Caenorhabditis elegans: one gene and its partners. The protein of the gene in region 3 purifies or fractionates together with the protein of the main gene of each other region. This does not show direct contact. Each region holds a gene or a part of one and is shown on either strand. Other genes may lie near its edges.

The links.
Region 1: the proteins of dim-1 (region 3) and rpn-2 fractionate together in Caenorhabditis elegans (co-fractionation; one large-scale study listed by BioGRID). This does not show direct contact.
Region 2: the proteins of dim-1 (region 3) and tct-1 fractionate together in Caenorhabditis elegans (co-fractionation; one large-scale study listed by BioGRID). This does not show direct contact.

Annotation. Positions count from the first base shown.
Region 1 is NC_003281.10:6,197,388-6,201,144, forward strand, and holds the start of rpn-2 (26S proteasome non-ATPase regulatory subunit 1), read left to right. Parts: upstream 1-1,792; 5' UTR 1,793-1,798; coding exon 1,799-1,853; intron 1,854-1,903; coding exon 1,904-2,431; intron 2,432-2,477; coding exon 2,478-2,608; intron 2,609-2,658; coding exon 2,659-3,757. Other genes in the region: C23G10.7 (putative tRNA (uracil-O(2)-)-methyltransferase), read right to left, coding at 43-138, 189-351, 395-611, 660-888, 934-1,020. UniProt on the Caenorhabditis elegans protein: Acts as a regulatory subunit of the 26 proteasome which is involved in the ATP-dependent degradation of ubiquitinated proteins.
Region 2 is NC_003279.8:10,567,477-10,570,648, forward strand, and holds tct-1 (Translationally-controlled tumor protein homolog), read left to right. Parts: upstream 1-1,635; 5' UTR 1,636-1,657; coding exon 1,658-1,685; exon of another isoform or gene 1,686-1,936; intron 1,937-1,940; coding exon 1,941-2,458; 3' UTR 2,459-2,559; downstream 2,560-3,172. Other genes in the region: rplp-0 (Large ribosomal subunit protein uL10), read left to right, coding at 458-602, 649-974, 1,020-1,487; F25H2.12 (Methyltransferase domain-containing protein), read left to right, coding at 2,607-2,741, 2,781-2,966, 3,013-3,142. UniProt on the Caenorhabditis elegans protein: Involved in calcium binding and microtubule stabilization.
Region 3 is NC_003284.9:8,056,499-8,060,255, reverse strand, and holds the start of dim-1 (Disorganized muscle protein 1), read left to right. Parts: upstream 1-2,035; 5' UTR 2,036-2,043; coding exon 2,044-2,088; intron 2,089-2,371; coding exon 2,372-2,429; intron 2,430-2,476; coding exon 2,477-2,554; intron 2,555-2,625; coding exon 2,626-2,679; intron 2,680-2,726; coding exon 2,727-3,262; intron 3,263-3,757.

The DNA of each region.
Region 1 (3,757 bases), on a different chromosome or scaffold from region 3:
TTTTATAATTAAATCAATTTTCGATTAAAAAAAAAATCTTACTCCGATTTTGTTCAAAAGATGAACAAGAAGACCATTTCCGCATCCAATATCCACGAATTTATTCGGCTTTGGTAGGAGATCAGAATTGACAAGCTCCTAAAAATATTTTGAAAGATGGGAATTTTATTGAAATAGATAAATTTTACATTTATATATGAAGCAATCCCACAATCCTCGAAAATTGATTTTTGTGGATTAGAGTTTTCTGTCCATCCTTTGATCATTCCTCTGCCATAATCCTCTCGAATATGACGATATGTCTTGATGTAGGACTCTTTGTCGAGTAGAGAATTTGTCTTTCGAGATGATCTGCAATAAACGTTTAGACTTTGTTAAATCATAGCGTTCTCACTTTGAAAGATCAATTCCTTTCAACCAAGTGTACAATTGTTTGAATGCTTGTTTCTTCATAAATTCAAAATGTTCTTGAGAGGAATTAGCTTGCTTCAAAAACTGAAGTTGAATGGATGTATCTGTTGGGATTTTAATGGCAATTGAATACGGGCTCTCGAAATGTGGGTGTTGCATTCCATCGAGAGTAATTGGGTAGAATCGTACAAGGAGTTCTTCTGAAAACAAAAACATCATTTCAAAAGAAGACTAACTTCGAAACAAACCTTCATAGTAAGAAACTTCAAACGCATTATCTGAGAATTTATTATTAGCGAGATCCTTGTGTATGATTTTCGTAATAGCTATTTCGCTGCAATCTCTCGGGCAAAATTTGTAATGTGTTTCAAATGTTCTTAAAACTTCATTCCATAAATCTGAATCTGTATCCACTGAAACTGAAGTTGTAATTCTGTTACTGATAGCGTTTGGATATTCCTTCCAAAGACTGATAATCTGAATTTTTCTTTCAATTACAATATTCCAAATTACAATAACTACCTTATCAAAAAACGCTTTTGGATCAATAACCTCTTCGTATTCGGCGATTTGTTCTACAATAACTGTCCATGTTGAACCAGGAAACATAAAACGCCTAAAAACGTAAAATTTTAATTGAATATATTGGTAAACTAGTTTTTCAAAGGAAAAAGAAAATTATTCAATAAACTTTTATTGATTAGTTCGGCCGAAAATATCCAACACGCAGAAAGGTAAGCTTTTCGAAGATATAGAAAGTTCTAGAAAATTCGGAAATGTTCCTCTGAAAACTACAAAAACTAAGTCAGACTGAAACCAATGTCATAACTATGTGCAATGAGCCTTTAATACAGTAACCACCGCATAGCTTTGAGACGATCAGTGAAAAATTAAGCATTAGAGCGGTCAAACTAGACACCAATACACTTTTATCTGATTTTAAAAATTAAAATATGCTATTTTTATCGGAATTGCTGGGAAAAATATTGTCTAAAAATAAGAAAACAACTTTGAAGAAAATGCGCCAACACCCATGTGCTGGCGCAATTATCGATTAGTTGACGCACATCGCGGAGGATGACAATTCTGACCACAGCGGGAAACCGCGAAATTGTCAGCTTTTATCTGAAAATGTATGTGTTTTTGGACGAAATTTGTCATTCGCAATCATTCTTTTCGTTCGGTTCATCCATTGTTGGTGTTTGAGTAATTTTATGATTTTCTAAAACGCCTGATTTATTTTTAGACGTTTTCTAATTTGTCTTTTAAGACGAGAAAGCTGTTTTTCTGATAACCTAGAAAAACATTTTATAATAAACTATGCTTCGCAACTATCTTCTCCTAGCTGCTCTCATTTCGGATTGTTTTTAATTTTGATTTCTTTCAGATGTTGACATTGTTGAACAGATGGAGATCTCAGCCAGGAGGCGCTTCAAACGCAGGTATCAAAACTAATATCTATCAAGAAACGTTGTGAATTGTTCATTTTCAGCCGCATTCATTCGTGTTCTCGAGTCACCGAAATCAGCAGTGACCGACAAAGTGCTCGTTCTCAAAGCATTTAACGATTGGGATGTTCTTGTGAACACATGGTTTGAGGTCGCTGACGCCCTTCCAGCTGTAGAGCAGCTCCTTGACAACAACACGTTCCCAGAGCATTCATCCGCTGCACTGCTCGTCTCCAAAGTTTATTTCTGCTTGGAGCAGTATGAACGTGCTTTGGAGTTTGCTCTTCGTGGTGATTTCAACGTCGTTCCTGCTACAAGAACCGGTCTTGGAAACGACGCAGAATATGTTAACAAGATCATCGAGACGGCCATTGACACGTACAAGACGCTGAGCAAGCAAGGATCTGGAATTCCTCAGAAACTCCGAGATTTGATCGACCGAATTGTTGCTAGAAATCTGGATAAACGAGAGATATGGTTTGTCATCTCGTTAGGATTTGAGACGACCAATCTGGCTATGATCGACAGGGCCATTAGCGCGATGCCTGCAGATTTGACCATCAAGAATCAGAGTAAGTCAATAATAACTAAGCTGAAACGTCATTCTTTTTTGTGCAGCTACACTTGTCGAAACGCTCAACCGTGTTGTCAATGGCGCGTTCGATCGTTCATTCCGATTCCAAGTTATCGATACAGTCATCAAGACGTACTTGAAGTGCCCATCGCCGGACATGTCCAAGATTTGCGAGGTATGATTTATACAAATATCGAAGTAAAATTACAAAATAAACATTTTCAGTGTTACGTGCTCACGGATAACGCCGAGGCCGCTGCTGACACGATTACGAGTTTGATCGCGAAGTCTCTCAGCACTCGTGCATATCAGATCGCATTTGATTTATATGAAACAGCGAGTCAAGGATTCCTCGATCGAGTTTTGAAACGTTTCCAACAGCAGGATGCTCGTGATGAGAAGTCGATGGAAAAGATTCATTCAATTCTCAAAGGTCATGAAACTGTCAAGGCTTACCTCGACTTCTTTGTCCGTCATAATCACACTGATTCTGTTCTAATGGAAGAGATCAAGGAGAACATTCGAACAGCCTCTGCCCACAATGCTCTTCTCATCTCAAATGGTCTTATGCAATATGGAACTACTTGTGACGATTTCCTCCGTAACAACTTGAACTGGGTTTCCAAAGCTACGAACTGGAACAAGTTCAATGCGGTCGCTTCACTTGGACTCATTCATCACGGACAAGAATCGTCTGCAATGAAGGTACTTGAGCCATATTTGCCAAAGGAATCTGTCGAAGGATTTGGATTTAAAGAGGGAGGAGCAATGCTGGCATATGGATTGATTCACGCCAAACACGGAGATGCAACTGCCATGAGCACTCTGGCTCAGTGGCTCAAAACCGCCGAAAACGAGCCAGTGAGACACGGAGCTTGTCTTGGATTTGGAGTTGCTGGACTTGGATCGTCTTCTGTTTCGAATTACGAGAAAGTTCGGGAAGTTCTCCAACGTGATGAAGCAGTTTCCGGAGAATCCGCAGGAATCGCCATGGGCCTTATCATGGCTGGACATCTGAATCAAGAGGTGTTCAATGAGCTCAAGCAATACACTGTTGACACACAGCATGACAAAACTCAACGTGGTATCCGAACTGGACTTGCCTGTGCCGCATTCGGACTCCAAGGAGATGCTGAGCCTTACATCAAAGAAGCAATCGGAGCTAAGAGCAATCCAATGCTCCGTTCCACTGGAATCTGTATGCTGTCGATGGCTTACGCCGGAACCGGATCTCCAGATGTAGTACGCCGTCTTCTCGAGAAAGTAGCCACCGATCCAAATTTGGATGTCAAGAGATACGCTACAATTGGTATCGGATTCGTTC
Region 2 (3,172 bases), on a different chromosome or scaffold from region 3:
TTTTCTGATTTTGACATCACCGGACTCGAATATTTTAATTGGTGTTGAAATTAATCAATAATTTCTCTGTTTTTTATTTAGAAATATCATGATTTGGAGGTTTTCCCTCCACTTTCAACAAAATTAATGATAATTCTGGTGTCGATTTACGAGAAAAGTTAAAGGCGCATGGCTGCTGCCGCCTTGAGGGTCTCGTGACGAAACACATTTTCTGTTGTTGAGAGGCGAAACATTCAGTGTTCCTAAAATTTTTTCACTGTTTTTCCTTTTCCTTGTTGAAAATGTGATCGATTTTTTCAAAATTTGATTAATTTATATTCAAAAATGTGAATCCGTTCAATTCTGTTGCACTAAAACCACCGATTTTCAAAATTGTACATTTTCAGACCTCAGTTTTAATATAATTTATTTTTTCAGTCTTTAAAACGTAACCGCACGCGATCCTTAATTCACCAAGATGGTTAGGGAAGACAGATCTACTTGGAAGGCTAACTACTTCACCAAGCTTGTCGAGCTTTTCGAGGAATACCCAAAATGCCTTCTCGTCGGCGTTGACAACGTTGGATCCAAGCAAATGCAAGAGATTCGTCAAGCCATGAGAGGTTACTATTTTTAATATTCTCAATTCCTTTAAATCGTAATTTTCAGGACATGCTGAGATCCTTATGGGAAAGAACACCATGATCCGTAAGGCTCTTCGTGGACACCTCGGAAAGAATCCATCCCTTGAGAAGTTGTTGCCACACATCGTCGAGAACGTCGGATTCGTTTTCACCAAGGAAGATCTCGGAGAAATCCGCTCCAAGCTTTTGGAAAACCGTAAAGGAGCCCCAGCCAAGGCTGGTGCCATCGCTCCATGCGACGTCAAGCTTCCACCACAGAACACTGGAATGGGACCAGAAAAGACCTCTTTCTTCCAGGCTCTTCAGATCCCAACCAAGATCGCCAGAGGTACCATCGAAATCTTGAACGACGTTAGTTTTCATTTTTAATAGTATATTGTAATGTTTTCATTTTAGGTCCATCTCATCAAGGAAGGAGATAAGGTCGGAGCTTCCGAATCTGCTCTTCTCAACATGTTGGGAGTTACTCCGTTCTCATATGGATTGGTCGTTCGCCAAGTTTACGATGATGGAACCCTCTACACTCCAGAAGTTTTGGACATGACCACCGAGGAGCTCCGCAAGCGTTTCCTTTCTGGAGTTCGCAATGTCGCTTCCGTCTCGTTGGCCGTCAACTACCCAACTCTCGCTTCCGTCGCCCACTCTTTGGCCAACGGACTTCAAAACATGTTGGGAGTTGCTGCCGTCACCGATGTCTCCTTCAAGGAGGCCGAGACCATCAAGGCCTTCATTGCCGACCCAAGCAAGTTCGCTGCTGCTGCTCCAGCTGCCGCCGCTGCCCCAGCTGCTGCTGCTCCAGCCGCCAAGAAGGAAGAGCCAAAGGAGGAATCCGACGACGACATGGGATTCGGTCTCTTCGACTAAATCCACAAGTTGTTCTGAATTTGTTGTTAATGAAATGTTATCTCCAAAAAAAGCGTTTTTAATTACTTTTCTTTGTGGTGTTATCGAACACTTAACTATATCTCTATTTTTTTGTTTCTTGTTTGAATTTTTAATCTCGTAATTTCAGTTACTGGCCCCATCCTTCAAAAATGCTGATCTACAAGGATATTTTCACCGGTAAGATTTCTTTTTCTGAAGAAGTTTTCCACACTCCTTAAGCTAGTTTGACTGTGATTGTGCATTTTAGATCGCTTCATGAGTTCGCTGCGTTTTGCTGTGAATTCATTGTTGCCCTAATTTGTATAGTCATGGGTGTCAAATTGGCGAGTTACGTGTGGTAAATGGATGACGATCAAATTTTGTTCTGTGAACTTTGCCGTAGATGTGATGCTGTTTGTTTATAGATTGATAATGATTGTCGAACAATTTCAGATGATGAGCTCTCGTCCGACTCCTTCCCAATGAAGTTGGTTGATGATCTTGTTTACGAATTCAAGGGAAAGCACGTTGTCCGCAAGGAAGGAGAGATCGTTTTGGCTGGATCCAACCCATCTGCTGAGGAAGGAGCCGAGGATGATGGATCTGACGAGCACGTCGAGCGTGGTATCGATATTGTCCTTAACCACAAGCTCGTTGAGATGAACTGCTACGAGGATGCCAGTATGTTCAAGGCATACATCAAGAAATTCATGAAGAACGTCATCGACCACATGGAGAAGAACAACCGTGATAAGGCTGATGTCGATGCCTTCAAGAAGAAGATTCAAGGATGGGTTGTCAGCCTTCTCGCCAAGGATCGCTTCAAGAACCTCGCCTTCTTCATTGGAGAGAGAGCCGCTGAGGGAGCTGAGAACGGTCAAGTCGCCATCATCGAGTACAGAGATGTTGATGGAACCGAAGTTCCAACCCTTATGCTTGTCAAGGAAGCCATCATCGAGGAGAAGTGCTAAACTTCACTGTTAAATCATTTAATGTTTTCAATGAACTATATATACTCCCCTATCACATATCGATTGCAACAAAAACATAAATTATTGTCTCTAGTACCTTGGTTAGAATGGTTTGGAACAAAAAATGTAATTTTGTAACTTGAGTTTCATGGAAAGTTCCAAATTCGATGAAGTTGTCTCGAAGTATCGGAGGATCTTGAATAGTCGTAGCATCGAATACTTTGCTTCGTCGTCTTGGGATTTGCTTGAAGATGAATGGAGAGAGTACCTGAATCTAGAATCGGTTAGAACAAAAATGTATCTAATCTAAAATTATATTCAGCTTGAAGACGTCATAGTCTTCGTAAATTCATCGGATAATCTTGTGTCAGCTGATTGCGCCTCTATTCCACATTCTCTGAGAGACTTGAAAGCAAATCTTAAACTTTTCGAATACAATAGGAAATGTGTGGAAAATCCTTCAGATCTTTGGCGTCAATGGACAGGAACCACAAGAGATGGGTTAAATGTAGTTATAATCTTGAAATTTTAAAATATAAAATTAACAATTTCAGGCATCTTTCCGTACAATATCGTCGGCGAATGGATTGGTAAGGAAGAGGATTAAAGCGAAGAAACAACACGAAATTGATAGAATTGTGGAATTAATCTCACAAATTCAAATATTCCAGAAAGATTCGGCAGGTATTCAAAATAATAAACTTTTCGAATCAG
Region 3 (3,757 bases):
GGCTGCTTTTTCCGATTATGTCTTCGGCTGCACTCAGTTTGTTATTACGAGCCATCTGTGCTCAAGGTCGATAAGGTCAACTTTCTCGAAAATACGTTTCCCCTGTCCTCATTGACATCTTTCCCCCTCTCGTGTCTCCTACTTTTCACCCTTTCACCAAATATCGATCAAGTCGATTTTCAACGGGTTCTCCAGGCAGGTGGCTAGTACGTACAGTTTAGAATTGAATAGTGATGTCGTTTCGTCTCGTAGTGTTGAACTCTGGCGTTGTCTAATTCTCTTCTCCGCAACGCATCTCTAGCTTGCACGGCGACGGTCACCCACGATGCTGGGTCGCAAAAGACCTCTGGTCACCCTTCCCGTTACCGCCGATGGTGATCTAATAGTTATCGAAAAAATGAAAGTATTGGATTTTTAGGTATTGTTGCTAGCACAACTGTATTTGTCGATATTGTTGTTTTTTAATTCTCAATTGGGAGCAACAAAATTTTTTACAAAGTATACTCATGTTTCAATATCGGTTCTTGAGTGATTGGTGATAATTAAATCTCATTTAGAAATTCTGATTGAATTTTTTTCCGGTATGTGATTTTTTATTAATATCCTGAAAAATCGGCGAACTTATGTTCAAATAATATAGTTTTTAGTTTAATGTCCCGGCATACTTGTTTGTTAGTTTACGTTTACCATCCAACCTTTAAGCACCTTTTCTAAGGTTTTTCTTACCCGGCGATGGTCACCCACGATGCCGGTCACCAAAGATGCCAGGTAGCAAAGGATCCCTAGTCACCCTTCCCGTTACCGTCGACGGTAATCTCATAGTTATCGAAAAATGAAAGTATTGGATGTTTTGCATGCTGGCTACCCAACTGTACTTGTCGATATATTCTAAAAGTTGTTTTCTCATTGTAATTTGAATGCAACCGATTTTATTACGACCGATTCCAATCCTTTAAATTTTTTTGAAAACTTTTAATGTCTTGTTTTATTAGAATTAGTATTTTTATTTCATTTCAAAATAAAAGCTGTTGAACATTTTTCAACATCACTATCTAATTTTCAAATTACAAGGACCGGCAAGTAAGTTAAATTTTTTTCAAATTTTGGTTAATAGCTAAGTAGCATTAAAAGTTTTAAATCGAAAATGTTTTCAGTTGTTGATAATGTTTGATTTATCTGAAAACTTTACTTTAATGCACAGAAGTAGTGTTCCCATTTGCGAATTCAAATACTCCAAGTAGTTCGAATGTTATAGCTTATTTGTTTATCAGTTTATGTTTAATCCCAATTCATCAAACACATTTTTGTGCGTTTTTTTTTACACGGCGACGGTCGCCCACGATGTCGGTCATCCTCGATGCCGGTCACCCACAATTCCAGGTTGCAAAAGACCCCTAGTCACCCTTCCCGTTACCGCCGACAATGATCTCATAGTTATCGAAAAGAAAGAAAATATCGGATTTTAGGCCTAACACCACATGTGTACACGCCGATATCATTTAGTTTTTTTGTGGTCAGTTTTATCACGAAGGTGCTTCAAAAATTGATCAATTCATAATTATGATAACCTTCAATTTATGACTTTTATGAAATTAGTTGGTTTTGATTACAGAGATGAGAAAATGGTTTTTCAATGAAAGTTCTCACTTAACAATATACATTCTAAAACTATGCCAATTGTTCAAACCAAAACAAAATTGCAAGTCAGTTAAACTTGACTTTAATTATTGACAACAATTAGGTAGATTTCAAAAAGCCAAATCAAATTATTGTTTCATTATTTCAATGGTTAAAAAAACTCGCCTTAAAAGTTTTGTTTTGTCTGAAAACCACAAAGTCATCTGTTCCCGTTTACCTACAATACTTACTTACTTACTAAACTTTTCATTCACTTTTTGTTTATTTAACTTTTTGTGTATCAGTTTTTGTTTACTTTCCGTCCATCAAGCTTTTTTTTCCTCACTCATCCTTTATTTCAATTCTCGTCCTTTTTTCTATAATTAACAACACAAATCTTAATTTTTTCAGTTTAACTCCATAAGAATGGCATCGTTAGCACCATTCTTTAAAATTTCCGACTCCATCTTGGTAAGTGTCAAAACTTTTGTAAAATTTCAACGTTTCGATGCAATATTTGCTATTCTAATAACTTGGTGTTTTCACTTAACACAAGTCTTTACACTTTTAATAAGAACCGATAATCACAGTGAGATGTGCAGTGTTACCACTTATTGAGTAGTATCCTTGTGCAAACACCCCCACGACATATTGCGTACATTCCCGATTCAGAAATTTCTGGCTTATAAGGAAGCAATAACTCTAATTAATTTTAAAAAAAAAGAATAAAACGCTAAATATTATATATACTCAGGCTGATGAAAGTTTCGACGATCTGGAAATCAATAATCATTTTAAATGCACTAGCAAAGGTAAGTAAAGTGTTTTTGTCAATTATCTTATAATTTTTCAACTTCAGATCTAAATGAATACCCAAGAACTTCAACCCCATTGCCTGGAGAGATAACATCAATTTACAGCTTACCCAGATCATATAGTAGGTGTTAATGGATACGATTTGTATTTTTTTAAAGACAAAATTCAAATATGATAAAATTAACTTTTCAGATAATCAAAACCTTTGTACAAGAAGTAAACCAACAACATTCATTTCACAAAATCGTATGTTCGATTACGTTAAAAAATGTTTCTATTATTCATTTTTTCAGAACAAAAAGGAATGACGGAAAAACCGAAGCATTCTGAATATTTTTTAAGACTGATGAAAACACGCCAAGAAATGCAGAAAAAATTAACTGCGAAAAATGGTTCAAACAAAAGTGTGCAGCAATATTTGAGAAAGTTACCGCCCAGTACGAGCAAAGAAGTGACGATAATACCAGTGAAAATGAAACCTGATGACAATTCAGTTTATATTTCTAAAGAATTAAGTGACAGGACTGACACAAAACTACCGAAAGTTTCAACAAAAGAGGTAGAAAAATTTGGAGAGCAGTCAGATGATGAAGAGAGGCATGAGAGGTCTCATATCGCATCGGATTTTAATCAGAAGACCCCGCAATCAACGCATGCAACGAGTAACCATAGGAAGAGAATTTTCATAGGGAGGACAGGTGCTAAGCAACAGCATGTTAGTAAAAAAGCCACAGAGAGTGAATTACCTTATAATATCGACGTGTCAACCTCCAACACGACAAATGCAACCGAGGCTCTCAAACTGTTAAAAAGGCCACTTCTGTTACCAGTGAGTTTTAAAACTTACAAATTTAACTAACAGTTAGTTTAGTGACATAAAAATTAATAAAAGTTAGTGAAAAAGTAAAACATGACCGACTTTCTATGAATTTCAAACATAATATTTCCAACTAAAACCAAGAAGAACCAATAAACTGTAAAATAAAATAAAATGTAAAGTTTTTACTAAACATAACGATTTAACAAAAAAATAAAAATAAAACTTCAGTTGTTATATGTTTTCAAGATAATTTTTGAAAGAGTTCTTATTGTTGGAAAATTATTAGTAACTTTCCTTATAGAGAACATTTCATATTTAAAAACCAATAAAACATTCAAATCGTCACTGAAACATAAATTGGCAAAAAAGTAGGCAATTTCTATTTGAATTAACACCCATCAGCCAGTTTTTTTTTCAAATTTTTTCACCGTGTTTTACACAGCTTTGCATGAAATTTTTAAAGCTAAAATGTATAATCTTGTATTTTCTCAACAGTTTCTCTTA